4 linked regions of the Oreochromis niloticus genome follow. The protein of the gene in region 1 purifies or fractionates together with the protein of each later gene. This does not show direct contact. Links are inferred from orthologs where the notes say so. Each region holds a gene or a part of one and is shown on either strand. Other genes may lie near its edges. The genes, in order: nxf1a, UAP56-interacting factor, ranbp2 and srsf7a.

The links.
Region 2: the proteins of nxf1a (region 1) and UAP56-interacting factor purify together in Homo sapiens (affinity purification with western blotting; 3 studies listed by BioGRID and IntAct, with this or other methods). This does not show direct contact. The link is inferred for Oreochromis niloticus from reciprocal best matches to the Homo sapiens genes NXF1 and FYTTD1.
Region 3: the proteins of nxf1a (region 1) and ranbp2 purify together in Homo sapiens (co-immunoprecipitation; 5 studies listed by BioGRID and IntAct, with this or other methods). This does not show direct contact. The link is inferred for Oreochromis niloticus from reciprocal best matches to the Homo sapiens genes NXF1 and RANBP2.
Region 4: the proteins of nxf1a (region 1) and srsf7a purify together in Homo sapiens (affinity purification with western blotting; 3 studies listed by BioGRID and IntAct, with this or other methods). This does not show direct contact. The link is inferred for Oreochromis niloticus from reciprocal best matches to the Homo sapiens genes NXF1 and SRSF7.

The regions. Positions count from the first base shown.
Region 1 is NC_031966.2:20,671,781-20,679,667, forward strand, and holds the start of nxf1a (nuclear RNA export factor 1), read right to left. Parts: upstream 3,019-7,887; 5' UTR 2,948-3,018; coding exon 2,881-2,947; intron 1,315-2,880; exon of another isoform or gene 1,300-1,314; coding exon of another isoform or gene 1,281-1,299; intron 525-1,280; exon of another isoform or gene 228-524; coding exon of another isoform or gene 200-227; intron 140-199; coding exon 80-139; intron 1-79. Other genes in the region: si:ch73-22a13.3 (inositol-trisphosphate 3-kinase A), read right to left, coding at 6,924-7,172, 7,282-7,353.
Region 2 is NC_031982.2:9,983,528-9,991,327, forward strand, and holds the start of UAP56-interacting factor, read right to left. Parts: upstream 3,011-7,800; 5' UTR 2,877-3,010; coding exon 2,804-2,876; intron 2,638-2,803; coding exon 2,497-2,637; intron 2,384-2,496; coding exon 2,220-2,383; intron 1-2,219. Other genes in the region: cpdp (CPD photolyase), read left to right, coding at 3,237-3,259, 3,440-3,816, 3,930-4,078, 4,404-4,586, 4,820-4,978, 5,587-5,785. UniProt on the Homo sapiens protein: Required for mRNA export from the nucleus to the cytoplasm. Acts as an adapter that uses the DDX39B/UAP56-NFX1 pathway to ensure efficient mRNA export and delivering to the nuclear pore.
Region 3 is NC_031987.2:11,384,827-11,392,687, forward strand, and holds the start of ranbp2 (E3 SUMO-protein ligase RanBP2), read right to left. Parts: upstream 3,003-7,861; 5' UTR 2,852-3,002; coding exon 2,780-2,851; intron 201-2,779; coding exon 133-200; intron 46-132; coding exon 1-45. UniProt on the Homo sapiens protein: E3 SUMO-protein ligase which facilitates SUMO1 and SUMO2 conjugation by UBE2I. Involved in transport factor (Ran-GTP, karyopherin)-mediated protein import via the F-G repeat-containing domain which acts as a docking site for substrates.
Region 4 is NC_031979.2:36,107,936-36,115,412, reverse strand, and holds the start of srsf7a (serine and arginine rich splicing factor 7a), read left to right. Parts: upstream 1-4,462; 5' UTR 4,463-4,685; intron 4,686-7,380; 5' UTR 7,381-7,390; coding exon 7,391-7,477.

The sequences.
Region 1 (7,887 bases):
TCATGGCGTGGTACTGGGTAAACATGTGTCCAAAAGGTCACAAAATGACACCTCCGAGATGCCTTCGACATATTTTTACCTCCGTGAACCATGAAATCGGTTCTTCTGACCTCTCTCCTCACGACAAAGTCTCTAAGATCTGTGGAAAGATCGTTAAAAGTGCAGTAAGTTTAAAGCTGCAATGAACGTGGCTTCTTACCATTGTAGTAATGACCGCCGTCCGCCATATTTCTCCAATAGTGTTGGATAACAATCACAGCCCAGAGTGAAACAAAAAACAACAATGCTACTAGTGGTGGTTATTTTCCTTGTTTCACGGCACTCAAAGCCAAGGCTGTCGGAGAAACTCCAACATCCCGGGTGGACCAGCGGAAACAAAGGTGACCGCGACGTGACTGTCGCCTTGTATCTAGCAGCTTAGCTTAGCTTCCCCTGCCGAGCCCAAACGAGAAGACGAAGCCGGAAACACAACTGGGTTCTCTTCCGGGGCAAGAAAAGGGAGCGGACAGCTGAAACAAACTACGGTGGGATTATGGTCGAGTAAAAAACAAAAAAAACATGCAATGTACAAATCAGGCTTTGCTAGCGTTAGCTTCGACCTAGTTTTGCGTATATGAGCAAAAATTATAGCGCGAAGCTTGATGTAGGATATCCGACCATTTAAATCATATTACAGCCAATCATAAACACACGAACCTCTTTAAAAGGCTCACCAACTTCTGTATTTCCACAAAGATGGGGGATAAAACACAGACAGCTGTCTTTTAAGTTAGCCAACGGGCCGATCTGTTGTTGTTTTTTTCAAAGCTGCGCCAGTATGCAAATGTATTTAAAACAAATCTACAGCGGTATCAAAGGGTATATAAAATGGGGTTATCTTATTTAGCAAGCTAAACGTTAGTGAAAAGTACCAAATTTAACTTAACGCCCACACTTATACACACTGTTTCTTGTTTATTATGAGCAGGTGCAATTGTAGCGAAACAAACCTCACCTGAGATTACCCCTGAGTTAACACTGTTCAGAGAAGCTGTGTGTATGTTTGTTTTTTTTTCCTGTAGGTGCATTTTTGATGTACTGGATAAGGAAAGCTACTGGAATTCTTCCATATCTCACACATTAACACTACATGCCTCCCATCATGTTAACATATTATTTACCACCTGTACTGTGTCATTGAGCCACTTTAATGTCGTCTTATAATACTATGCAAAAGTCGTGAAGCAGCCCTGATCTTTATATTTTCCTAGGAAAAATAGGAAGTCAGCATTTGGTCTTACCGCACTTATTCTTAAACATAGCCCGATCCCAATAGTAATTTCTTTAAGTGGTCCTCGGGAATAGTTCTTCAGCCTTCTTGAATAATATTCAAAGCTCTTTGTTTGATGTTGGCTGTCTTTTGTTCTGTTCTCTGTCAAGATGATCACTGCTTCAATAATTCCGCGCTAAGCACTCTGGGGAGGCCAGTCCATGATTGATAGTGTTCCACTGTGTTTTTTTATATGCTGGATCTCACTCCTGACCACCTCTGTACAAGTGGATGATTATTTGAACCAAACATTTCATATTTGGATTCATCACTCAATAAGCCATGTTGCCACTGATTTCCACTCCAGTTCTTTTGTAATTTGGCACACCTCAGCCTTTTCTGTATTATGTGTTTTTGGACAGGCTGCTGATAACAAAATGATGGATTCTTTGCAAAGTTGTCTGTTATGAGCAGAGGAAACACTGACTCATCCCTTGAGTTTTGGTTTGTTTTTATACTTGAATGAATCATTGGTCAGTGTTAAATGGCTCAACACACAAAAAAATCTGAAAATGGTCAGGTACAAGGATTGGACTGAAAATGAGTGAGAAAGTAGCCAATGTTGAAAGAAAATTTTAATGAGGCTTTTAGAAGTCCTAGTGAAATATTGTTTAAGACCAAAATATATATTTAAAAAAACATCAAAATGAAGGCTAAATAAATTAGGGGTGGCTCAAGACTTTTACACAGCTCTATACATTTGCTGTCTGTCATCTCGGTTGTGGGCAAAAGACTTGCAACGGACAAATAAAGGCTATCTCATCTCATCTTCCTACATTTATTAAATAGTTATTAATTCTATTTATTTTACTTTTTTGAATTTGGAATAATTATTTTTGTATGATATACTTATTTTGCTCATTTTTTCAACTTATTTTTTGTCTAATTATAATATTTTTGTCATAACATATTACTTTTCAGTAGGCCTACTACTGTAATTATTGTTACAGTATTTTATTAATTATTATAATTTCTGTTGCTTCTAACTTTTAGCTGGTCTAACAGTGTTTAACATAATTTTTAAAGATAAACTGGATCTTATCTTACTGACAGGCATTTTGGATATTTTTCCAACAGACAGCAGGCACCACAAACATCCACTAAAACATGGCCTTCATGAAGGGCAGATTTACTAAAGAGATGGTTACTTTTGTCTTCATGATGAACTCGAAACTAAACGTATATTAACTCGTGATGTATGTATATTACAATACAAGGTAAAATAAGACTCAAATGATCTTATAACTAAAATCTTCTATTGATTTCTAAGACTTCTTAATCTATCTCTTCTAAAAACTATATTCGTTAAATTTGAAAATAATACTTTCAACATCATGTAACACCAAGACCTTTGATAAAAACAGACTCACATTCATTTAGATGTGTCATTTCCTAAACCTACAGAAGTTTTTATTCTAATTTCAGCGCTGCACAAATCATATCTCAGTATGTTGTTTTGACCAGCTGTCAGTAATCCTCTAAATAACTGGAAAGTTCCCGTGACATGTGCACAAAAGACTGACTTGTAAAAAGTAAGAAAAAAAAAAACCCAGTTGATATTAATGACTCACTTCTATTGTTTGTGCCACTGAACACCAAGCATAAAACCAGGACCTCCCATAAGTGGAATGCAGCCATTATCGGTACTCATTATCTATTAATATCTACAGCGACAGGGCAAATGATCTGCTGTGAGAAATGCCTGTGACAGAGCACTTTCAAGGCAGGAAGGTGCAGCTGGAAGCAATAACAATAATGAGGTCCCAATAAGCCCTGACAGTGAACCAGCACGATTTCTTAATACTACCAGAAATGTCACAGAATGTCATAACAAGCTCTTAATATTTTAATTTTTGGAATTGTCCGGAGTTGCTTACTTTTTATTTATTTTTGTACAAACAGTGCACTTTAATATAGCCTATCAGGATTAAAAAAGGAGTATAATTTGACACTATTTCACTCAAAGGAACTTTAGGATAGGCTCAGCTGTACAATCTGTGTTTTATCACAAATCGTGACCATCCAGGTGGTTCTTTTGCCTAAGTAACCAAACTGCAACTGAATATATATTTAATTAATATAAAAAATATATGCATTAAAAATATTAGCCTGAAGGCTTCCGTTAGCATCACACCAACTAAATTCTCTGACCAGGTAAACAATAGCTACAGCTTCCTCCTCGGTAGCACGCTTATTTATTTTTAAATATTCAACGTTCAGGCAATATCTTTCACAATGTCTGTTTAAAACACGAGGCATAGGCAGGTGTAAGCGATTAGACGGTAATGTAAACCCAGGCTAAACGAAGCCGAGAGAATAATGGGAGTCAGACTTACCATCATTCACCACATGTGTCACCACGGCCAGGTTGGGGTAGCTCCTCTGAAACATGACCACTTAGTCCTCTCAAGACCACTTAATCTCCCAGTAAAACTTACTTTCTCCTTGAAAAACTCCTTTTCACAACAGCACCAGATTCTTTGTCAGCCTTCTTGAGCGAAATTTGAAGTTTTTTCTTTTTGGGCAACTTTGTGAGCAGAAGCTAAGGCTAGCTTGCAGCTAGCAGCTACCGTTCACGTTGGCTGCGTATCCTGCCAGGCCAAGTTTCAATATTTACCACTAATTTTTTTTTTTTTTTACCACCTTATTGCTTTTTTCCATAAAAGTACAGAAAACCTGTCGTTTTAGCTCCTGTCAGTCGGTCTCTCCCGCTCACTTTTCTCCTGATCCTCCAACAACACGGCGCCACCTGGCGAAACGAAGCGTCTGACTACTGCAGCCTGAACGCTTAAACTGCCACAATATTAGCATACAAAAAATATATTTAGGCATATGTAAGATTTTGTACTTTTTTATGGCATTTTTAAAAATAGATATTTGGCTTAAATAGTTTTAATATTAACAAAGTAATTAACTTAATTTAATTCAGGCATCTATTTGTCAATCATACACAAATTATTATTAGGTTGTTAAACAATAACAAAAGGGGAAAAAATTAATTTTTCTGCTGTATTTCCTGTTGTTAACTAAAAAAAAAAAATCCAAATTTAGTCATTGTCCTTTTTAACAATAGTCAGTGATAACAGCTCCAAGACATTATTGCAAACTTCTGCATCTTAATTTGTGGTCTCTCTTTTAGAATTGTCACATTTTAATAAGCCAAATGTGTTTTCAATAGATGAGATGGAGCCTTTAATTACTAAAGCTATAAATTTTCATCTTGACAGTCTACAACCACTAAAATGCTAATTATGATGTCTTAATGTTAGTGTAATATTGTCTCTTGGGCTAGATATTCCTATTTTTCTAAACTTTCGAACACAAAAATGTACTTGAATTTAGCTGATATAGATATTAAAGTGCATAAATCTGTTGAAACCCTAACCCTTGCTCTGAGTCTTAACACTTTGCTTTTGGAGAAAAGAAAAACAGGAATTTAAAAAGTAAAGATAGTCTGATTACTTTGTTATCCTCTGACGGACAGTATCAGTGAGAAACAAAAACATATTGTGATAGCCGAGGGTTCGGATCACCGATGATGTGTTAGACCTCACAGGGTTAAGAATTGTAATTGTTTTACTGCTTACTTTTCAGTTATTTATTATTTGACTTACTTTAAATTAAACACTCAGCATTATTTTAACAATACTTCAGATTTGCACAAATCATATCATTCAGTCTTCTTCTTTCGGCTGCTCCCTTTAGGGATTGCTGCATCTCACTCAACCTTTGCGTCCTCATCTTTCACACCACCCTCCTACATTAATATTTTCCTCCAATTTTTTTCTGCTAACCCTCCTCTGCACATGTCCAAATCATGTCAGCCCTGCCTCTATAACTTTGTCTCTCTGATGTTCTCATTTCTAATCCTGTCCACCCTTCAGCTCTGCCACCTCCAGCTGCACCTCCTGTATTTTTGTCAGCGCCAGTGTCTCACTCCCATCTTGTAAACCTTCCTTTTCACTCTCACTGTTCTCTTTCTGTCACAAATCAGCCCTGACACTCATCTCCACCCACTCCACTCTGCCTGGACTCTCTCCTCTCTTGTGCCCCATCTGTTGCTTTGGATGGTTGACCCGAGATATTTAAACATCCACCTTCACCGCCTCTGTTCCTTGCAGCTTCACTTTTACACCTGTTTTCACCTCTCCAAGCTCTCTTCGGCCTGCCTCCTTCTCTCACTTCAGATCATAATGTGTAAGAGGTCAGGCAGGAGTCTCTGTGGACTCCTGCCTGACCTCATCAGTTCACCTGCCCATCACCACATCAAACAAGAAGGGACTCCGAGCCAATCCCTCCCCCACCTTAAACTCATCCGTCACTTCAGTTGAACACTTCACCACTGCCTCATGCAGTGTAATACATATATATGCTTTTTGGCTGCACTAATCCATCTCACTGAAATATTTTATTCAACCTGCTTTTTGCAATGATCGAATGGATTTGACTGCCCTGAGATTTCAGCGGTTAAACTCTCACTGCTATTTAGCATTTTATGTATTTATTTACTTTTTTGCATATCATTGTCTTTCTATTTGGACTTGGATGTCTGCAACTCATTGGCCTGTATTTGTATAGCGCTTTACTAGTCCCTAAGGACCCCAAAGCGCTTTACACAACCAGTCATCCACCCATTCACACACTGGTGATGGCAAGCTACATTGTAGCCACAGCTGCCCTAGGGCGCACTGACAGAGGCGAGGCTGCCGGACACTGGCGCCACCGGGCCCTCTGACCACCACCAGCAGGCCACGGGTGAAGTGTCTTGCCCAAGGACACAACAACCGAGACTGTCCAATCCAGGGCTCGAACCAGCAACCTTCCGATTACAAGGCGAACTCCCAACTCTTGAGCCAGGATCGCCCTGCATTTTATGTAAAATGATGATAATAGTGACACGGATATATAAAAACTCAACAAAAAGAAGCATTCTTATTTTAATTTTTATATATGTGAGGTTATTTATAGCCTATAAAACTGTGAAAAACATTTCAGCTGCATCATGTGTAAGTAATCTAAATACAAACAGTAGAATAATACAATACAAACATTGTGGCTGTGTTTTCTTCATCAGTATAGCTTAATCTGTACTTAACCCATGTTTTTTACACATACTGTCTTAAAAAAAGATAGAGCACGAGGCTGTTCAGCCTATGTGCGCATAATGAGATACCTTAAATGAGCTTATGTTGCAACAAAGGCGAGCTGTTTTAGTTTATGCAGACCAACCAAATTAAAACAAACAAGACAGAAGCATTTGTAAACAGATCTCCAGCAGAGTCATTCCCAACCCATGCCTCAGGTACGCCCCTGATCTGTAGATCAGATCAGATGTTCCTTGGATTGTCCGTCTTTTGCGAATGAGAAAACAAAAAGTTCTTTGTAACACAGTAGCTTTAACTGTCAGAGTATGTACATACCGGATGCACAACCACATATCTATGGATTTTTGGTACACTGAAGTCCCTTGTTCCTCTTCCTTAGCCCCTGAAGACACAATCTCCATTAACAAATCAAGTCTCTTCCAGCGAATGAAACCATTCCAAGTGTAACACCAGTCGATTCGTCCATCTCATCCACTTACAATTGTGTAACGACTGTCAAAAATGCACATTCACGGGCTTATTTGCTCCTCCTCACAGCTCTCCTCCTGCTGCCATGAGGCCACGCTGATGGCCTGGGCTAAAGATGTGACGAGAGAGGACAGACCGATGAGGTAGCCATCCTCCCTGCTACCTTCAGACCACGGGACGTTGTGTCGGAGCTCCCGCGAGTCAGGCAGAGGCGTCGTCTTTCCGAAGTCTATCATCCATACACTGGCCTTGCTGTGGTCGTGGACAAAGAGAAGCGAGCTGCCAATCACCTGATCGATTTAAAAAACATAAAGGTATTGTAAGAGTTGCTATGATGAATTCATGTGTTTTTTATTTATCGCACAATTGAACAAGATTCATCTCTACATGTAGACCAACCTCATGAGTTCTGAAAAATGGCGAATTCTTTAGTGCGTCACTCAGGGCCAGGAGTCTGGAGTGGTATGCTCTCTGAGAACACACATGGGTGGAGATGTTTAGCAACAGCAAATGGTGAAGCTATGATAAATAAAACGTTAAATGGGATCTATTATGCTTTTCCTTGTTTTTACTGTTACAACAGTGAATGCTCATCTTAGACATGGCCAAAGCTTTCAGATAACGAGGTCAGTGTATGTGCAGCCAGTTGGGCTGTAGGCTGCTCTAAGCACTCAGCGTCACCATCCCTGGGTCTCTTCACGGTTCTGAGTTTTTAGAGTTTTAGTTTCATTTTGGGTTTAAGTATGCTTTAGGTTGGAGTTGTTTCTCATTTTGCTTGAGTTACTTTGTGTTTGCCTGTTTATGAGATTTTCAAGTTTACTTATTTTATATTTTGACTTTTTATTACAGTCTTCCGTTCTTGCTCACCACCTGGTTTTTGTTTATTCCCATCTTGCCCGTGTTCCTTGTGTCGTGTTGTTAAGTCTCCACTTCTGTGTTTGATGCTCTCTCTTTAGTTGCATCCTATAATATTTTAATAGTTGTGTGTCTGTGTGCCCTCCCATG
Region 2 (7,800 bases), on another chromosome or scaffold:
GAAAAAAGTTCGCTAAAATATGGGACTGCTTTTTCACTTCAGAAGACGATACTATCCTGAAAATAGGTTTTTATTAAGGGAAAAAGCTATCCAAACCTTCCTGCCCTTGTGTGAAAAAGTAATGGACTTGTAGGGATCAAAATATCATGTGGAAGGTTTTAGTCTAAAAAACTAACACATTGTTTCATTAAGAACATCATACTAACAGTCAAACATGGTGGTGGTAGTGTGACGGTCTCGACTGCTTTGCTACTTTAGTGCATGGATGGCTTAATGTAACTGATGGAACCATGAATTCTGCTTTCAATTAGGTCAGGGGTGGGCAACTCCAGGCCTCAAATGCCGGTATCCTGCAGGTTTTAGATCTCACCCTGGGTCAACATACCCGAATCAAATGATTAGTTCATTACCAGGCCTCTGGACAACTTCAAGACATGTTGAGGAGGTAATTTAGCCATTTAAATCAGCTGTGTTAGATCAAGGCCATATCTAAAACCTGCAGGACACTGGCCCTCGAGGCCTGGAGTTTCCTACCCCTGACTTAGGTTCTGCAGCAGGACAGTGATCATAAAGATACCAGAACATTCCACCTCTGAATGGCTCGAAAAATCGTTCTCAGTGTACTGGCATCCTCAAATCTGGACTGAAATCAGACTGAGAAGTTTTGGCACGACCTTAAATGGGCTGTTCCAGCTCAAAGACCCTCCAACGTGGTTGAATTGAAAAAAAACTTAAAAACCTGCAAAGATCTACAGCGATGTGAAAGACTCATTACTAGTGATCACAAACATTTGATTATAGATTTTCCTCCCAGTGGTGGCACAACCAGTTATTAGGTTTAAGGGCCAATTACTTTTTCCACAAACGAGCCAGTTTTTTTTTTTTTTAACAAATAACAAATAATCATCATTTCCAAGCTGCATTTTCTATTCACTCAGGTTATCTCTGTCTAATATTAAAATCTGTTTGATTATCTAATTTAAGTGTAACAAACATGGGACAAAAAAAGAAATCAGGAAGGGTGCAAATACTTAGTCTGTGTATGTCAAATGAGGTGTATATTTGTTGAATTTCACTATGAAAGAGATCAGATTTGGATTTTTATTTTTTATTTTTAAATACACCAGCATTTTGGTGATTAATTGTGACTCAAAAAGAAAATTTCTTTGTCCATTTGATCTTACTATACACACTCTGTAAACTTTCTGTTTGACAGAAAGATTGTTAACCTAAACCTTCCATACTTTCATTATCGGGAACCAAATTATATCCTTGATCCATGTCTGCACTCCCAGAGCTCCAACGCAAAGTGTCTGGTCTCACACATGGGGACACTTTGTGAAAAGTAGGTAGTTTCCTTCAAATTTAGGTTTTTGCCCCACACTGGGGACCACACAGCATCCTGATTTCATGGATGTTGTGGCAGAAAGTAGTAGTTCTTAGCAGAACTTTAAAGCTACTTAGGATGACTTGCAAGCATGTGTGCATATTGTAAAGCGATGCTAACGCAGGAACTTCCCTGACTTTTGTATACCTTAAAACAGGCAAAATGATTTCTACCAATCGCTGCAGCGATTATGTGAAATAACTAAAATGAACTAAAACATTCCCGAACTTTCAAAGTGTGCTACCTCCTGAGCACGATATCCCCCTTGAGAAACACTGGAACAGCATCTAAACAGGTCAAACAACCACAGGGGACGCAGCTAACGAAGAAAGTTTGCAGTTCCTGGACAACACGCCAGAGATGCTGATGTCTGTTGCCAGGCGACAAGATGAGGAAAAATAGCTACCTCTGGTTGTGATGAAAGTGAGGCACATCACTTCTCTAAAGTGGACCTACTGGTACATTCAGCAAGCTAGACTGACTTTAGGAAAACATAATAAATGGAACCAAATTTTAAGAGATTTATATATTTTTGTCCAGTTTAGAAGTACTTTGAATATGATTTACAACTAATTCTAGCAGAACCTAAGTTGATGAAGTATTCCAACATTGCTTTATGAAGGTGTAGCGTCATTTTCCAACATGGCTCCATTAAAGCTGTCTGTGTTTAAGGTCTGGTTTCTCAGTGTTTTGCCCCCTAATAAGGCTTCAAAAGCTGGAGTGATTCCCACACTTTAATAAAACCACAACACGGTCTGTGCTTGCCAGTTAAGATGGCAGGGCAGTATTATGGACTATAGTTCATGTCTCCTTCAGTGCAGTCCTCCAGTACCTGGTTGAATGCTGATCTGTTGAGTGTGCCGGCTCGCTTCAGCAGAGCCGCTGGTCTCCTGGCTGCCAGTCCTGTGATGACCCCCTGACCCCGTCTCCGAGCCACTATCGGTGGGACCTTTCTGTTTCTCAATTTGGGACCTCCTCCTCGGGGAATGCCACCTCCTGGTAAGTATTGGAATAGCGACATTAGATAAACACACTTGTTTCAACTGGGGTGAAAAAGAGAAGCATACCTATGAAGCTAATAATAACTGAGAAAACGTAAGCGAACACACCTCTCTGGGCTGGTCCTGCAGTCCTCTGTGAAACTCCCTTTCCTTGGATTAAGCGGCCTTTCTTCTTCACTGGTCGGCGGCTCACATTGGCCTGTCTCCTTCTTAATTGTTGCTCTTTTTTGTTCAGCCGAATAATGTCATCTGTTAAAATCATCACACGAGCAGTGATCAACAACAGCGAGCCCTCTGACAAGTGCTGCCTATCTAGCCTAGCTAGCTACTGGCGACCTCCCAGTAGTTAGGTGCTAATATTATTAGCTTGTAGTCTATTTTAGTAACGTTGCTCATAGCTGTGTGAGGGCCTTACCCAAGGACATGTCGACTTTATCCGGAATAGGTGTCCTTTTCCCTCGGTCTGCTTTGAAATCCCCCATGTTCATACTTCAAACCACAGTGAACAACCCAAGTGGACACAGAAATATAGTTAGCAGCCGAGCTAGCTATCCGCTCCTTTCCTGTATACGCTAGAACAGACACGAACCGCCTCTGCCGCGCATGCCCCGTGAAGAGGTCACAGACATGCACTGTGGGAAGTGTATTTCAATTCAATGAAAACACAGCGTTACAAAACCCGAACCAGCGCGCTCATGTAAGTGGTTGTGTAAGGGAAAACGCCACGGGTTTCAGACGCCTGGCTGCTGCTGTCACGACGGCTACTCAGTCTGTTGTTTATTCGTTTAATTTCACGTTTTGTTGTCCACTCGAGCGGAGCCTGCATCATTTGAAGCTTCCCACCCTGTATGCTGCACTGTGTTTGGAGGAGGTATGTGTCAGTAGTAGGAATCGCTATAAACACGTTTAATTGAGCTTCCCCGTTGACTCAGTTCTTGTTGTTTGCATTGTCGCTTTGTTCATATGAAGTTTTCCAGTCTGTAACTGTTTTGCTCACGCCTGCAAAAACTCTGAATTTTGAGTTTCGCTGTTTCTATACGATTTCCTGCAGCACATCACCTTTCTCTGCACCAGGGCGCTTCTTAAAGCTTCTCCCTCACCACCACCAGAGGCCCAGCAGCCCCGCACTCTTCTTCCTGACCTGTTTCTTCAGCTGCCAGCTCACCATGTCAGGCACGAAACGCAAGGCATCTTCTGCAGCTGCTGGCGAGGAGCACCGTGCCAAGCAGCAGAAGCTGGCTCCCGTCAAGGAGGAGAAGAAGGAGAAAGTTGGGGGCTGGCTGCAGAGTCTTGTGCAGCAGCAGAGATCAGAGAAGAAAGACATGAAGTTCAACAAAAAGCGCCTGCGTTTTCTGTCTGATAATGAAAAGATAAAGCAGGGCTCAGAGGGTGTCCTCTACTGGATGTTAAGAGATCAGAGAGTACAAGGTAACCCATCAAAGCAGAGCCATCAGTGCAGCAATGGCGCAGCCTCTGTTTGGTTTGCATTTTCTCACTGTCTCTTCTCATGACGTATGTGCACATTCCTTTTGTGTGTTTAGATAACTGGGCACTGATCCATGCCCAGCGGCTTGCCGTGAAGGAGAACCTCCCTCTGCATGTCTGTTTCTGTTTGGTAGTGCCCAAATCAGAGCTGTCTACTCTGAGACATTACAGCTTCATGCTGAAGGGGCTGGAAGAAGTTGCAAAGGTACAAACTTCAAAATGAACATATAGTAAATATAATACTATTCCTTTAAAGTAAATACTGCACAGAGGGTGAGCTCTCTGAGTGCTTTTTGTTTTACATGTTTAATTTAAAATGCATTGCATTATAAACAGAGCTTAATAAAAGGGACGTTGTGATTGAAACTATGAGAAATATTTCATACATTAGTTGTGCAGTACTACACCCGACCAGAGGAATCACTCTTGTTTGAGTCTAGCTGTAGTTGCAGGTATTACGTGGTGGGACATCATCAGTGAACCTGAACTAACAGCCCAGCCTCACTCTTGCTCTTCTGTCCATATAACAGGAATGTGAACAGTTAAACATCCAGTTCCACTTGCTGCACGGCGCTCCGGGGAAAGTTCTCCCCGGCTTTGTGTCCAACCGCAGCTTTGGGGCCGTGGTGACTGACTTCTCTCCTATCAGAGAGCCGCTGCAGTGGTTGGAGGACGTCAAAAAGAAACTTCCCAAAGACATTCCCTTCATACAGGTATGAAAAAACCCCTCACTTTCTGAGATCCAATTTGCAGGAGGTGTGTGCTGATAGGATGCTCTGTATTCTGGTTATTGCCTGTCCCCAGGCTGTTTTCTCTCTTTATTTGTTCCCCTGATTCCAAAGTAATAGGTATGAAAACTGATGCCGCAGACCTCATTCTCATTTCATGCGTATTGACTTTGTTTTTCCTATCATTATTTCTTGAACACTCTATTCTCCTTTTATAGGTTGATGCCCACAATATTGTTCCCTGCTGGGTAGCTTCACCTAAACTCGAGTACTCCGCTCGGACGATCAGAGGAAAAATTACCAATCTGTTATCAGAGTTCCTCACTGATTTTCCCCTGGTAGACGCACACCCCCACACTGCTACGAGAACCGCCAAAGTAAGTGCTCGAGAAACAGTGAAGTGAATAAATGTTGAATGTACTGAGAATAAAAGAGGCGTATTTATAATTTATAGTGAGTTCAAAGACTCTTGGATCAGTTGAGAAACAATTACAATTTATCTTCTGGAGGTCATGAAATTATTCATTGCTTTTGGGTTGTTGTTCTAAAATCAATTGCGAGGCAAGTAAGCTGTCAGGGAGGCTCATCGACGGGGAGCCTGGAAGTCGAGCTGCTGCCAGAAAGCACATACTTTTACCCTTCAACTCTATCCTCACTTCCACACATTATTTATTGATGACTCAGTATAAACTGGATTTTTTTTTTTTTAACTGTCCAAAAGTTAAAACTCTCTTTTCCCCTTGTACTGGTTATTAAAGCTGCAGGGGTGCTTTTGCTCCAGGGTTGAGATTGATATGCTACACACGGTTTGACCCCCCCACACTTGATATTTTGAGCTGGATTTAAAAAAAAAAAAAAAAAAAACTTTCTCCTTTGCTTTTGAAGTTGTCAGATCTCTGTAGCACCACAGTGTATATTTTAACTCATCACTCTCAGCTGTGACCTCTACTGAGCCTTTCTCCTTTCTTGCTTCTTTACCTCACAGGGAGTAGACTGGGACAAAACCCTCGCCTCCCTGGATGTTGACAGAACTGTAAAAGAGCCAGAATGGGCCAAGCCGGGCACCAAACCAGGGATGGACATGCTGGAGTCCTTCATTGATGTACGACTTAAACTGTTTGGTAGCCAACGCAACGACCCGAACGCTCCCGCCCTGAGCCAGCTTTCCCCCTGGCTCCGCTTTGGTCAGTATTCTGTGAGAAGCTTTCTTAAGGACATGACTCTCTAATATTATTCATATGCTCTAGATAGTTTATTAGTCCTGCTAATTCTGCTTTTGTCCTGCACTTGTCCAGTTTCCTCAAAATGTCTTAAGGACACACTGCACAAGATATGACTAGTTTGAAACTAAAAGCTCTTTAGGAATCATGTTGCTGGTGCAAAGATACTATTTTTTTTATGCCTGTCAAACAATGTCAGTATTGGCATTTTTTTGTAGATTTAACAAAATAAATGGGAACAAATGTGTTTTCTGACAGGCTGCTAGTAGCAAAGTGCCTAAAGATACAATTTAAAGTTGGTTCCTTACTAAGTTGTCTGTTATGTGCAGACAAAACACTGGTTCATCCCTTGAGTTAGGAGGCTTTTTTATGCTTGGGTGAGTCACAGTCAGTGTTAAGTGGCATAACAAAGCAGGACTAGGGGTGGGTTTTGATTATCGATTTATCAATTAAAATCGATTCTAGCCTGCATAACGTGATATCAGTTCATTAAAATCCTGAATCAATTTTTAAATATAAATTTATTTTGCCCGAAACGCCAGAATCTCAGGTTAAACCTCACAAAATTTCAACAACCACCAAACAGCTAAAACAGTAAATGAGAGCAGGTACACGGATTCTGCACTAAGATGTAAACACAAAGCGCGGACCCGCCGACGGATCAGAATCAGTGAGCTGTCGCCTTTCTCACCCGACGGCACGGACACGGTCGGGGCTGAAAGCCGACAGCTCTCTGATTCTGATGTGTCGGCGGGTCCGCGCTTTGTGTTTCCGTCTGTTTTGCGCTAGATTCTGAAGCTGCAGGTTTTATCTCTCTCCAAACAATATTGACTGAACCAGCAGCAAAAGAAGATCCGAACTACACTCCGCATTTCGCTTCACATAAACATCGTCATGAATTCCTCTTAGTTTTCCTGTTTTGCTTCCACCACGATAAAATCACACTTCCTGCAGAGCTCGTTGTCTTTCTCAGTGCACTTCAAGAACAGTTTCGCGTCTAAAAATCTCTGTTTTCTGCATTATTTGCTTGCTTATTACGCACAAGTCTACCATTGTTTACAGCGCTGTCGGCCGCTGTATTTTTCCTTTTACTTACTTCCGACAAGAAAGCCTCATTTCTGCCGTTCGATAGGCTACTGGACAAATGTAAACTTTTTAAAATTATGCAAAATTGCACAACGCTTGGCTGCGTCTCTAATAAAACCTCTGTAACTTTGCTCTGCATCACTTCAGCAGCATCAGCTAATGTTCATGTGCTGATTAATGGTTTTCTTTCGATTTTGATCTACTGCAGAATCTTTTTAAGGTCATCTGCTATAAAATCCCAGGCCAGGAAAATCTCCTTCATGTTTTTCTGTGTTTTATCCTCAGTCACTTTGACACAAAGGCATCTGCTGTGATGCTTACACCTTTGATAAAGTCTCGCAACTGTCAGCTTTCTTTTTATAGACAAAAAAAATATGGAAATGTACTGATGCGTGATCAGAATTATAATATTTCTGACTGTCTGAGGCAAAATTTCCCCGATTCGAAACAAATCGAATCGAATCGATTCGGGACCTTGTGAATCGGAATCCAATCGATTCTAGAAATCAGTGACGATACCCAGCCCTACTCAGGACTAAAAATGAGTAAAAGAAAAGGAAAAGAAAAACTTTGAAAGAACTTCAGGAAACTTAGAGAACTTTTGCACAGGACCACCTTAAAAATAACAAGAAAATCTGGCTACTTGGAATCAAAATATGAATACATGAGAGGTGGCTTAAGACTTTTGTACAGTACATCTGGAGAAGAATTCTTAATAGCATCTTGGTGTTCTGTTCATTGTGTTCATCGCGCTGTAATCCTCTTCAAGAAAACCTTGACTGCCTTCTTTGTAGATCTCCTTGAGACTTTTGATAATGTGGGTGAGTTCAGAGTGTTGCTTTTATAGATGGTTTAAATTCCCCTAAATTATGTCCCTAAATGATAAAAGTGTC
Region 3 (7,861 bases), on another chromosome or scaffold:
GCTTTGGGATCCCTCTCCTGGACCTTGAGATAGTCTGACACATGCCTAGGAAAAGCATGAAAGACAGGAATTACAAACAATATAGCAACACACAAGCATTGGGTCAAACAATGGAGAGGCTCACATGCTTACCTTTTTGCAAGATCATATTCCTTTGCTTCAAAGTACAATTTAGCAAATAAAAACCCTTTGACTGGCTTCTGTGGAGAGAAAAAAAAAATATGTGGACCAGCATGAGGAAATGGATTCATCTTGTTATGATAGTGAGAAGATGCAATTACACATGTCCTGCAGAGTTATCTGGCTTAGTGGGATTTAAATACTTACCAGTACTCAGTACCTGCTTAGTAACTGTACCACAACCCAAAGGCCCATTTTTAGCCATAAAAAAAAAAAATCCTGCATATGGACCTGCCAATGCCTAGTTAAATCACAGCCGTCTATAATGGTTCAAGTAGATTGTTAACTGGGAATACATCAGAATAATGAAAGATATTTTTGTTCATTATCCAGTTTTGATCAAGTGATCAGCTCAAAAAAAACAACAACAACAACAAAAAAACCCCCAAAACATCTTTTATCCTGAGGAATTAACTAAATCGTAGTTTTGGGAAATTATTCCTCCCAGAGGCTAGTTAGTAACATATTAGCCATCCGGATTACAGCATTACCCATTGTCAGATTTACTGCTAGCTTCTCCTACCCACCACACTACAACTATTATCACTGACTTTTTCAGTGTCAGGTGAACAACGTAGAATAAGTTGATAGCAGGTAGTGCTCTTCTGGCTATTCCACAGACCCATTTAAAATACAAAGAGGGATCACGCTTTCCAAACCTTAGCGTCAAAACAGTTTACCTCCCCCTCTATGCACTATTGACTCTTTGGCTTCTTTAAAAAAAAAAAAAAAAAAAAAAAGAAGAAGAAGAAGAAGAAGAAAAAAAACAGCTGAAAACTCATCTATTTAGACAGGCATTTGGGTAATGCTCTTGTGCAATATGTTGTTTTTATTTGATATATTTTTAAATTCCCTGTAAAGCACTTTTTAAAACTAGATTCCTGTCTTAAAAAGTCCTATGTAAATAAATATTTCCTTACAAATCACACCAACATTTAATTTCTGTATGTTTGTTTAGGAATGATTTAACTGATGATAATACAGGTTTAAGCTCTGAACAGCATGACACCCAATCTTGTGATTTAATTCTTTAGGTAAATGTCTCCAGACTACACACATTACTGTACACAACAAAATGCACAAGGAGGCATTCCACAGGTATATGTGTAGAAGTGTGAATCTATTGTCAAACAAAACTACATTTTTGGCTCTACTGGTGCAACCCTACACATATAATTGGGCTAGACTGTTAATCTTACAATACCAAGGTTTCTCCTGACTCAAAACACACCTCTGGGAGGGTGACTGTGCATGCAAGTACAACTGCTCCACAAATAATTAAGACAGAGTCTGTGTTGCCTTACTTTTTCTATACATATTTCTGTACATTGTTACCTGTATATATACGAACCTCGTTTGCTTATGTATATAGGACCACTTTGTGTCTTCCTTTTATATTCCCCTTGGTCTAAGAGCTGTAACACCCAAATTTATCATCCGTGGAATATTAAAGGTTTATTCTATTCTAGAGGTCTGTGCATTTTTATTAATTACTTTTGATCACTAGCGACACAAAGTGTATTCTAAGCTTGAGTACATTAAACTACACACCACATCAATGAAAAACCACAATCCTGATGACTTTACTTTGATGTAAGACCAAAACATCGTTGGAATTACGCAAAAACAAAACCCTGACTAGGGTAAAGCAACTTGAGAGCATGGTTAGGACCGTTGACCACATAGCACCACATTTACTCAAGTAATTGACTGATCGACTATCATATTATGCTGCCATGTTGTAGATATGTATAAGCAATTAAACCAACATCTTCAGCTGCAACATTAAAAGGATATCTACAAAACAAATTTTCATGATCTCATAATAACACTAACATATATTTCTGCATCATTTGTCCTTTCAGTATACTTTCGAGCTAATCGCTATCAGTTAAGCATCTTTCAGACTGTTGAGCAATGCTACTTTTCACATAATACCTCTGGTACAGATAAGCCTGAATTCTGATGCATTCAAGTTTTTCTTACATTGTATTTATTTCTCATTAAATATTCTGATTTTCTGTGGGTGTAACTGTTTCCCCCCTGACATCCGATCCAAATAAATAATAATTAAAAAGAACAAAAGCAAATCAAGAAACCTTGGAACTCTGCCTGATTAACAGACAAGTCTGTTTGCAATTAAACTAAAACCACCAGTTTTTGAACAGAGTTAGGGTTGCTGCTCCTGATACGATCAAGCAACGAGCATTTTTAATTGTTGTCTGAACTGAAACCTAGCTTTTCCAGAGAAATGAAACTTGCACAACCTATCCAACTAGCTTTGTCTCGCTATCGTGGCTAACTAGCATAGCTGATTAGCTGGCGCTGTTCAAGGGATCCCATGCCGCGCATTTTCCCGAGTATAAAGGGGAGGACACGACGGGGCGTCATCACGCCGGCCGGTTAGCTACAGTCTTTAAGACTATCTGGGGGACGGGGGTTACACAGAGAACGACATATGAGTCAACCGAAATACCGTCATCGTAGTTAAAAAAGCAACGAGTGTTCATTGAACATGTGTACAGGTTGTACCTCATACCGGCTGATGTGACATGATGGCAGCAGCATGCTAACATTAGCCTCGGCGGGCTTAACTTACCTCTTTGAGTGAGGGAGAGGAACTCTGTACTGAGGAAACGTAACAGTCCACGTCAGCCTTACTTCGTCGCATAGCTTCCAAGGTCAGGGGCTTCTACAGCGGCTGAATGTGAGACATAGAAAACCAGAAATTCACTAAATATCTAAAACAAAACTGACGGTAACATCAGCTCGCCTGACGTTAACTCCCCATGATGATATTGCGCAGTCTCAATGCCGTCAAATGGCAGCTGTCACGTGACTTCTTAACCAATGAGAACAAGAATTCAGTTTAACGCAGACTGACGCATTTCAGTTTGAAGGGTTCTGTTACAAATACCTGAAAATCCTAATTTCTCCAACAATTAAGCCTTAATCCTTCATTTGATAAATATTTTGTTACATAAATTAAATATCTTTAAACCCTGTATATGTGTAACCAATAGTATTGACTTAAACAAATCATGCTATATCATGCCCAGTTTTATAGGCTGATATCTTTGCAAATTTTTCCATGTCTGTTTCTGTTGATAAGCTTCAGTCAAGGAGTTTTTTTAAAAAACATTTTTTAGTCAGCGGTTTATTCCAAAGTGTTCTCATCAAAACCTCTGCACACCTGAATGAGTAACAGTTGTCAGAGGGAAAGCTGTGCTATGCAATGCCCATTTGAACTTTATCAGCTACACAGACATTCATCATCTATTATGAACTGAGCATCAGAATGGAGAAATGATTTGGGTGATTTTGCATGTGACGTGGTTGTTGGTGCCAGATGGAGTCGACGAGTATGATTTCAGAAACTGATGATCTACTAGGATTTCTTTACACATAACCACATCTAGGATTTACTAACAATAGTCAGAAAAAGAAAAAGTATCCAGTGAGCGGCAGTTTTCTGGGTGAGAATGACTTTTTGATGCCAGAGGTCAGAGGAGACTGGTCAGACTGCTTTGAGCTGACAAGAAGGCAACAGTAAATCAAACAATCACCTGTTATAACCAAGGTTTGCAGAAGAGCATTTCTGAATCCACAACCTGCTGAACTTTGAAGCAGATGGGCTACAGTAGCAGAAAACCACACTGAGTGCCACTCCTAAGAAGAGGAAACTGAAGCTACAATTCACACAGGCTCAACAAAATTGTAGAACAGAAGACTGAAACTGTTGCCTGGTCTGTTGAGTTTTGATTTTTGCTACAACATTCAGATGGTAGAGTCAGAATTTGGTGTAAAATATATGAAAGCATGGATCTGTCAAGGAGAGAGATTACTGGTTTGATCCCAGGAGAAGACACAACTTGTTCAGCATGATTTAATTGTTTTAATTCTTCAATGTTCCATTGACATTAAAAAAGATTCTGATTCTTGTGGTGCTGTAATGTAATTATAGGCACACTTTGGGCCATTTAGTACCAACTCAGTATTGCTGAAATGCAGCAGTCTTGAGTATTGTTGCTAATCATGTCCGTGCACCTCTCTTCTGATGGTTACTTTCAGTAGCAAAACTCTCCTTGTCACAAAGCTCAAATAATCTCTTTGCTTGCTTTCTCGAACATGACAGTGAATTCACTGCACTCAAATGGCGTCCACAGTCACCAGATCTCAATCCAATAGAGCGCATTTGGGATGTGTTGGAACAGGAGAACAAATCAGCAGCATCTGCGTGATGCTATCATGTCAGTACTACTCAGCAGCTTGTAAAAGGGCCACCGCAGCAGTTAATTCTACATATTTGATTTGGTAGATTTTTTGTTTTCTCCTGTGATCAAACCAGTAATCTCTTATTTATTGAAAATAAATAAGCCATCTTTTCAACATGGACCAAAATCTCACAGAAATGTTTCCAGCACTTTATTGAATTCATCCCACAGAGAATTAGGGCAGTGCTGAAGGCAAAAGGAGGTAGAATATAAATGAAAATACTCCAGCTGGTGTACTCTGAAGATATGTATTAATAAAACTGATGTTCTTTTGTCTGTAAGTATGTATCATCTTGGATGTTGCCTTTCTTTAGTTGATACTGTGCACTGATTAATCTTCCTGTATTTTTTATCTTTAACTTTATTCCCAAAAGTTTTATATTCTGCATTGTATAAACTTACAGCATAATTCTAGTAATAAATATTTATTGTACAGGTTTATGTTTTGAACCGGTATTTTAATAGTCAAACATGTTGCAGTTGTATTTCTAATTGTTTTCTGTTAGCTGAATGTGAGTGAGAGTTAGCTAACATCTGGATATAGCCAACAATTTTGTCTTGAACTCTATTGATTTGTGCTCTTAATAACTTCTGAAGTTAGATGGATGCTGTTTCAGATTATGGTTGTCATATTGACTATCCTGCAGATGCTAATGGCTGTTTAGTGTTGCACACATGTGTATAATGTCCATTAGTAGTCCTCTGATGTTGGGATATTTTGAGTCACTTCATATGTGTGTGTATATGATAATGTGGAGCTGCTAATATACTTGATGAAGCTCAAAATCAAGCATGTTCCCATTTAACGTGGACCCGAATGCAACATATGTGAAATTTTGGAGTGTCATTAAACATTATGCAACACTTGTGAATCCTGAGCCTGCTGCTGGTTTCACGTTACACTTTGAGAATGGTAAGAAGCTGTAAACCAAATAAATCATTACACACACACCGGTAGCATTGACATATGTGTTTATTCCGATGAAGTGTCAGAATGACTTTAAATATAATAAGAAACAACTTCCCAAATTTCAAGTTAAGAACATGCACTTTGGTGTGCCAACATGAATAAATCTGCTCACAAACATTGCAATGATGATATCCAGTATCAGAGCAGTATCTGTTTGCACAGAGTCATCTCAGTCCATCAGAGTAGTAAAGTATCAAATAAAACCATGCACTGAACTATTTGTGGCTCGAGGTGCCGAAGTTCTGCCTCACAACAATCAGCCCAGCGGATAGTTTTACTTCTGTATGACATAGAGAAAGTTGTGCCATCTGCACGGAAATGCACAGCAGTAACATACACTTCATAATGATAAAATAGTGGAATGTGTTTATCTATAGAGCTTGTATTTTAAGCTAAGCTTTGTGATAAAATGGAGGTCATGTGAAGCATTCTGCAAGAATGAGACCAGTTTGGCTTTCTTTCCTAAGTGGGTCTGAGCCCCGAGGAAGTCGGTACACCTCCCTAAGAGGATCACTTTCCCTGGATTACAAACAACAGAGGAAACGTTCAAATGTTCAACATCAATCCCATATCCGGTCTCTGTACATGCCACAAGCCGTCATGTTGTAACACACACTGAGTTTGCAGTAACCATTCAATAAATCCTGTGGCTCAGATGCTTGTTATGATCAATATTTGTTGACAGCACATCGGGACGGGGGAGGGATTGTTTTATAGAACACTGACAGGTAACAGTTATTCACTCACATGTATTTAATAAATCTAAATTTCGCCCTCGGCACTTTGGCTGTATTAGATTAATTCAGATTGTAAACGCAAAAAAATGCTGAATAAATACCAATTTGCACAGAGATCATGCCACACAAAGATGCATAGCACATACAGTAACAAGGCAATCCAACACTGCAGGTGATGGTCGAGTCCGTTGTGTAATATTAAAATGTAGGTCCAAAAAACAAACAAAAAAAAGGCAGATAAAATACTTATTATGCATAATATTAATGGAAATAAACACTACTAATACATAAAATGATACAAGTTGGAAATATTTGAGGTTATTTACACATTTGGGACATTTTCTTTCTTTGGGCTTACTTGATTGTTATAGAAATGAAGCAGTAATATTTTTCAATAAAGGTTTTTTGGCATCACAAGACAAGGTGGCGGCAAAGCTTTTAAGTCATCATATTACCTCTGGCTTTCTATGTACTCTTAAAACTCATATGTCACTTTTTTAAATACAGGAAATTAGCAGGCATGTGTAAAACACACAGTGGAGCAATTTTGCAAAAATGGTACAAGGCACAAAGTTAAAGCTGTCTGACCGAAAATGTGACTGCGGAGCTGCCGGCTGCAGGCACATGAAATTGAAAGTGCAATGCTTTCTAGCTATAACCAACCTAAATGCAACATAGCAGTTGCAAAACACACAAATTCTTTATTTTAATTCTGGGCTTGTACATGGCCACCTCATGGTCTCATCTATCTTTCCCTCTCCAGCTGCTCCACTGTGTTTTTACTTCCTTGCAACAGTTTCAGACAGCTTTTTCAGTCTCTTCTTCAGCTCCAGAGGGAACTTCTCATAGCACTTCTTACACACCGGCTTCATGTCAAACTCCACAAACTTGTTCCTGTGGAAGAAAGAGAAACAGTTGTATTTCAGAAGACTGGCCAGTGATCAGTAGAGGATATTGTTTCCAGGTGAGAGGATTTTGTAACATATCATGATATGTGTAGCATCACTGTAATGATCTCATTCCTTCAGAAGCCCTTCTGACAAGTCTCAGACCTACTGAGACTCGAGATTACTTTTGAAATCTAATTTTTTGAATACATTTTTAATTCCATCATAAAAACTCTGATTCCTGCGAACATTGGACGTAGCAACGTCTGAATTTCGAATGTTATTTTTCAGACCTTTATTTCAAAACCCCAAATCCTGGACAAAGATGCACACCTTCCCATGCGTGTTTCTGGTAGGGTGCTGCAATTAATCATATTTTTATCTTTAAAGACAATACACAAGAAGAAGACAGCTGTCTTAACTTAAGACTTAAATTTGGATACTGATACCAGGGATTCTAAATATCACATTATCCTCTGCATTCAAAGTATCATGTCACATTTGACTTCTGACCTAATATTTACATTTCACATCTGCCTTTCTTTCAACTTGACCTCATCTTTTCTCACCCTTTATAACAAAAACTGACGCCCTACAAGGCTGAGACATGATCAAGATGAGAGAAACGCACATCCCTCTTTTAATAATTGCAGTCTCAACGTTAAATGAAGTGATTCTGATCATTGTTTTTCAAGCAGCCCTAATTTATGTCTGTTTTAGCACTGGGATTCATGAGCATTCATAATGCCTTTTGACGAATAACAATTCCCTGAATGAACAGAATCTTGCCTGTGTTTTCCTTGACAGAAATCA
Region 4 (7,477 bases), on another chromosome or scaffold:
GCGCTGCAGACCACGCCCCGCCACACACATTAACAAGGTAAAATAGATATTTAGGCAGAATTTTGCAAATATCTTTTTTTTTTTTTTTTTTTTTAGCAGCATAGTGCTTTTTTTCCAATTACTTTTTAAAAGTCAGGTCAAGGCTCCAAAAGCCCAAAGGCGATATAAGGGTGGCGGCTCACAACAGTTTTTGTTTGCTACATGGATCATTTTAGTTCAGCTGGGTGTCTTTCCTTTTGTTATATTTCTTTAAGAGTTCAAAATGTGTTGATTACATAAATAAAATGTAATTTTCTCTGTAGCACTTCATGGATTTCATAAGCAACACACCTTAGTTGCTCTGTGGATTCTTTTAAAAAGCAGTTAAAAACTTTTCTGTTCAAACAAGCCTTTTGTTGATCTACGTATTTTATATTCTTTACATTATTTACATTTGATCTTTTACATTGTGTATAATGTCTATTGATTGTATTGTTTATTTTAATATTTGTGTACAGCGCTTTGTGACTGCCTGTCTGTGAAAAGCACTTAATAAATAAACTTTACTTACTTACTTTAGTTGTTCACACAAAGCACAAAGGTAAAAAAACAATATATACAGTGTTATCTTCATTTTAGATTTCAAAAAGTATTTGCGGCTCCCAGTGTTTTCTTTTGCGTGGAAACCGGGTCCAAGTGGCTCTTTGGGTGTTAAAGGTTGCAGACCCCTGTCCTAGGAGATGAAATGCCGGATTGCTAGCGAGGCTACAAATACACACAGCCGCTCTATCACGTGACTCACACTGCTCCGACGTACTACGGTTATGAGCCGAGTTACGCCATGTCGCAAGTTTTTTGAGGTGCTCTTTTGATATTTAATGGATTGGATTACATTTTTTTATTTCCCTCCGATATCCGATCCAGTAATTTACGTCAGTATCGGACCGATACGATACGTAATATCGGATCGGTCCATCTCTAGTTAAATTAAACACCTTGCTGATAGCTAAAGGCAGCCGTCCTATTTTACATGAGGCTAAAGGGGCATGATGCGTGTAGTAGACATTATTTATTTCAAAATGTTTTCATAACATTTTTTCAGATTTAAATTGAAATATTATAAAATAATGTGTTAGTCAGATTACATTGCGTGTTTTTTCACAAGCCAATAAAACTGTACATGGGCCAGTAAAACTCTGTGATACTGAGGGTTGTTTATTTGACTTTGACCTTTGACTGTACTTTGAGATTATTTATTAATAATTGTAATATGGCACATAAAAGGTTTATTTGTTTGTTTTTTGACAGGTGTTCAATTTAATTCAATTCAATTCAGTTTTATTTATATAGCGCCAAATCACAACAACAGTAGCCTCATGCCGCTTTATATTGTACAGTAGATCCTACAATAAAAGATACAGAGAAAAACCCAACAATCATATGACCCCCTATGAGCAAACACTTTGGCGACAGTGGGAAGGAAAAACTCCCTTTTAACAGGAAGAAACCTCCGGCAGAACCAGGCTCAGGGAGGGGCGGCCATCTGCTGTGACCGGTTGGGGTGAGAGAAGGAAAACAGGATAAAGACATGCTGTGGAAGAGAGACAGAGATTAATAACAGATATGATTCGATGCAGAGAGGTCTATTAGCACATAGTGAGTGAGAAAGGTGACTGGAAAGGAAAAACTCAATGCATCATGAGAGTCCTCCGGCAGCCTACGTCTATTGCAGCATAACTAAGGGAGGATTCAGGGTCACCTGGTCCAGCCCTAACTATATGCTTTAGCAAAAAGGAAAGTTTGAAGCCTAATCTTGAAAGTAGAGATAGTGTCTGTCTCCTGAATCCAAACTGGAAGCTGGTTCCACAGAAGAGGGGCCTGAAAACTGAAGGCTCTCCCTCCCATTCTACTTTTAAATACTCTAGGAACAAGAAGTAAGCCTGCAGTGCGAGAGCGAAGTGCTCTAATAGGGTGATATGGTACTACAAGGTCATTAAGATAAGATGGGGCCTGATTATTTAAGACCTTGTATGTGAGGAGCAGGATTTTGAATTCAATTCTGGATTTAACAGGAAGCCAATGAAGGGAAGCCAAAACAGGAGAAATATGCTCTCTCTTTCTAGTCCCTGTCAGTACCCTTGCTGCAGCATTTTGGATCAGCTGAAGGCTTCTCAGCGAGTTTTTAGGACATCCTGATAATAATGAATGACAGTAGTCCAGCCTGGAAGTAATAAATGCATGAACTAGTTTTTCAGCATCACTCTGAGACAGGATATTTCTAATTTTAGAGATCAGCACAGCGCATCACCAGGCCTGAACTACCAGCCATGCAGGATCTCTATAGACAGTGCTGCATGAGCAAGTCGCAGCGGATCCTCTCTGATCCCAGACACCCCACCCACAGACTTTTCACACTCCTGCCGTCCGGCAGGCAGTTCAAGAGCATGCAGACCCACACTACCAGACACAGAGACAGTTTTTACCCACAAGCCATCAGGCCTTTTAACTGCTGACATTCTATACACACCATCACACACTCACTACAATTACAGGACTCTGCACACTGTCACATCAACTAATGCCACTTAAATGCTCATTGCACAAGTTTTGCACAAACTGTAAATACCAACTTGTCTTAAATTCTCTAAATATTTAATACTTTTGTTGTTTTCTTCTTAATTTAACTGTACACTTCTATATGCTTATGTAAAGCTGAGGAGCACGAGCCAAAGAATTTCATTATGGGTAAATGTGGCTACACTGTTTATCTGTACATGACAATAAAACTTGAAACTTGAACTACACCACTGGGCAGAAAACGTTCCCTCTAAGACAAAAGGTAAAGTAAAGGAACACACACAGAAAGAAAGCTCTTAAAATGTGGTTATCCCAATCAGATAGCTATTGAAGCTATCTGAGGCTGTGTTTCACCTGTTGACCCCAGGATTAAAAACACCTTTTAACACCTTGGCTCTTGTGGTGACTCACATCCTAAACGGAATAATCATAATAAATAATATATAATAACGTGTTCAAAACGGAGTAGGAAGAAGTAAAGCTTAATTAAAATCCTAAAGCCTGAACTCTTTCATGGCATGCAGTTTTAATTTCTCTTTGCTATTTGGCTTTATGTGGTTCTATCGAACACTATAAAGCCAGAATTAAGTAATGATGTGCAAAACTCTTTATTTGGTGTCTGAACACAGCAGCATTTTTTCCTGTGTACAAAAACAGTTGTGCCCCCTTGAGCAATATGCGTCATTTAAAAAGCCATTTGAAAGAGCAAAATTTAGTATTGTGGTCTAGACAACCCAAAATGTGATGTCCCCATATGTGGATGCTAGATCCTTGGATGTTAATTTAATTCAGTGAGTTTGGTCAGTGAGCTACCAGAATAATATAATTTATACATTTATTTCTGACAATTTAAGACCAAAGAGTTGCTGAATGATTTTCAGTAACTGCACCTGCATTTCTTCATCGTGCAGAAAAAATGAGATGCACAGTGTGGAAATTGCACTTTTTTTTATTTTTCTTATATGAAGATATCCTAAAGATTGATTGTGCAGTTAAGCTACTGAGTCACAGGCTAGTTTCAATGGTCCAGCTTACTTAAGACCAACATGGGCTGTAAATGGCCCACAATGTAAAATAAGTTTGAAATCTCTTGACTTTCCACCACATGGTTAGGAAATGAACCTGTCTTTTATATCAGGGATGCATTTACTGATAGAATAAAGACAGGATCTGGTCAGCTTGTCTGTTAAAGTTGATCTGTTACATCAGCACAAGGGGACATTAAAAAACAAACATCAATTTACAACATTGTTTTTGTTTGTTCTTTTTAATAAAATTAAAACTGTTTGTCTAAACAGGAGGTTTTATGTTTAGATTTCAAAAAGAAAGCTTTATCATGCTCTTGATGAACCTACTGTTTCTAGTGTCGTGTTCTACCATTAGGATAAATCTTGGATTAACTGTGAATTAAATTAATTTTGGAGAGATTTAGTAACTGTCAATGTTATTATTCATAATCTTTAAAACAATTTTAGTTTCCAAAAATTTGACAGGAGATATAAATAAGGATATGACATATCCTTTTATTATATCAGCAGTACATTTTAAAATTTTTGTTTGTGTGTTTGTTTAAAGTAGACAAACGATCTGTGATTCCAGAGGGTTGCATCAGGGGGCTTTTTGGAAAATTCAGGGTTAAAATTAAACTAAATTAAGGAAATGCAAGCAAAACTACAAGATAATATTAGAGAGATACTGACTACTTATGAAACCAATACACATGCTTAGTTAATATGAAGCCAATTGTTGTAGTCATTAAGAAATGTAGCAGTTACAAGTACATCAGCTTTTCTGCTTTGGGACTTAAAGTGGGAAATTCTTGCTGTGGTAATTCTTCATGTCGGTCGTTTTGTTTTGAAAATATTCCCCGGACGTTTCCGGCTTCGCTGTTGAAGTCACAGTGCGCAGCTGCGGTAGTCGCTTTGCGGTGGTGGTAGGTTTCTTTTGCTTTTGTAGCCGTTCGTCTTGCGGCAGAGCCATGTGGAAGCGCCCCTGATGATCGTCTGTTCGGCTTTGTAAGGAGTTTAAATCGCAGAAATCAAATTTAACTGTGAAGAAAAGACGTCTGGCTTCAGTTTGACGCGGCTGAAGTTCGTCTTAGGAGCGGAATCAGAAATCATCGGACGAAGGTAAGACCGGGCTAACGCGTGCTACCGCCATTGTTTATAGGCAAGCGCGGACCAAGGCCTCGAGTAATTCCGAAAATAACTGCTCGCACGCATACACCAAACTCAACAATTTCTGCTTTTTCTGTTTTACTTGTAGCCGATTAGTTTATTTGCGTGCATAAAGTTGATGTTTAAAAGTGTGTTGTTGAACTGGAAGTGGCGTGGCCTTCCGTCTGTGAGACGCACACGGAGGTTAGCGCCGGTTTCCTGAACGGATACCCGGCGGTGTTCGCTTAAAAACACGCGGGAGACAAACGATCGTATTGTATAAGACACCGCTGAGTTACACAGATCGATCAGCGAATATAGTTTAATCCAGCCGGATCGGAGGCCCTCGGGGCCTGGCCGTTATCAGATATATAGATGTAGTGAACTTCAAAAAGCTGCCGGGCCGGTTAATAAATGACGAGCGTCGTACCTGCGTGTAAAAGATGACCTTTGTAAAAGCGTTAATGGATAAAGTTTATCTTTTAAGTACCTGATACAAAAGAAGACGAGATGAAACGGACATGAACAACGGAAGTCAGACCCAGAATCATCCCAATGGCTGTGTGAATGGGATTTTTAAGCGGTTTTTAATCCATCTCAGAATCAATAAAACAAAGCCTTTATGTAGCCAGTATGCCAAATTTCTGATCTGTACGTTTTTGAAAGGGTAGGAGGCATTAATGTACTGGGTGCTTTGCTTTTCAAAGCTTTAAAATTTACAAAAAATGTAAAAGCATGAACAGTTAAATGGTAAATGGCCTGTATTTGTATAGCACTTTACTAGTCCCTAAGGACCCCAAAGCGCTTTACACATCCAGTCATCCACCCATTCACGCACACATTCACACACTGGTGATGGTAAGCTACGTTGTAGCCACAGCCACCCTGGGGCCCACTGACAGAGGCGAGGCTGCCAGACACTGGCGCCACCGGGCCCTCTGACCACCACCAGTAGGCAACGGGTGAAGTGTCTTGCCCAAGGACACAACGACCGAGACTGTCCAAACCGGGGCTCAAACCGGCAATCTTCCGATTGCAAGGCGAGCTCCCAACTCTTGAGCCACGATCGCCCCAGTTTGCATCATTTCCATCTTAGAAATAACACATCTTAACGAGTAGTAGTAGCACCTGGAAACCCAAGGCTACGATTGTTGGGATGGAAATATCTAGAGCAGTGATAAGAGTTTCTGTTTTGTTAGAATTTCACTTTAGGAAATTGGCATTTAACCAAGCGTGGAGAGCTGCTTAGCTCAGCAAGAACACGACAGATGGATGTCACTGGACATGTTTTTAAAATTAGCAATTATCCGCCCAAGAGGTGTAGGGTCGCCACAGGATAAGGCAACCTTTTTCTCCAAGAAATGGCAACAAGATAACTGTCTGCAGTATCAAAACTAGTATAGTATAACTTTCTCCTGAGCCCATCAAAGTGTCACTGAGTTTTTCTGCCTTTCCAGAAAAGGGAAATCCTGTTCAGCTCTAACCTTTTCTAAAATCTGTGGGATTTATGACTAATAGGTGGAACAGTGTCAGGCCAACCACATGAGGGCCTACTGCATTAAACATTTTTAAATGTGGTGATGTGGGAAGTACTTCTGCAGAGCTTGATGGCAAGTTTAATTTCACACGTGATCAGTTGCCAGGGTTACAGGATACACAGGGAATACGTTTGAATCGGAAATGGTTGAATTTGACTTTAAAATTAAAAGGAGGTTATTGATCTTTGTTTACAGGTGTAGGATGCTTATGGCGCGCTGTAAGATTGCAGATCCATTATGGCACTTTAACATCTCACTGTCCCTTCAAACAACCTTGGTGTGCTCCAATACAGGTTTTTTTTTTTTTTTTCCCTGCCAGTTTAGATACAGCTGGTTCATTCAAAAGTGTCTGCAGGGACCCTTTATAGTTCCAAACCATGCCAGCAAAAATATACCAGAGCTACCAGATCCCCCTCGCTGTAAGGGTCATGGGTTCATAATTACTTTTCCAGCTGTCTGTATATTGGCAGTATTAACCAAACTAGATAAGAGAGCTAAGCATTAGAGACAACTAAAAGAAGATACCCAGATGGTAGGAGAGTAAAAAAAAAAAACAGTTGCTGATTCATCAACCCTGATCTCTACATGTAGGTAATTATAAAGCCAGGTGTAAAACCTCACCTTTAGATTTAAGTGTAAATTTTTGAAAGGGCAGGACCACGCCTGAGGATTTAATGATGCATTCACATGAAACACAAAGGGATGTTTCCCCTTGTGTCACTCACATGAATACGGTTGTTGATAATCTGTCCTCCCCCCAACAGCCTACAGGACAAGGAGGGGTACAAGCAAAAGGCGGCTTTTAGAACTTGCCATTAAGTCCTTCAATTTGTCATTGACTTTGTCTTCAGACACCCCACCCATGTAAAAGAAAAGTTGAGCTATTGCGCTCTGGCTGCTCTCAGTAACCTGAAGTTTAAAAAAAAATTTTAAAAAAAGAAAAAAAGATTCTGACACACTTCCACGCAGCAGTCATGCACTAATTGTAGCATCTGGCAGAAAAGTATATTCTAGAAATTCCAACCTTTCCTATATTTCCCAAATGTAGAGGAAGATTTAAAAAAAAAAAAAAAAAATGTATTCTTCTCACTATGATCCTCGTCTTAAATATATTTACCATCTCCCTGCAGGTGAGAGAAAATGTCCTACTACTCATCCTCCCGTAGCTCGTCTCGGGCCACTGACTGTAAAGTGTACGTCGGTGACCTGGGCAATGGCGCTGCAAAG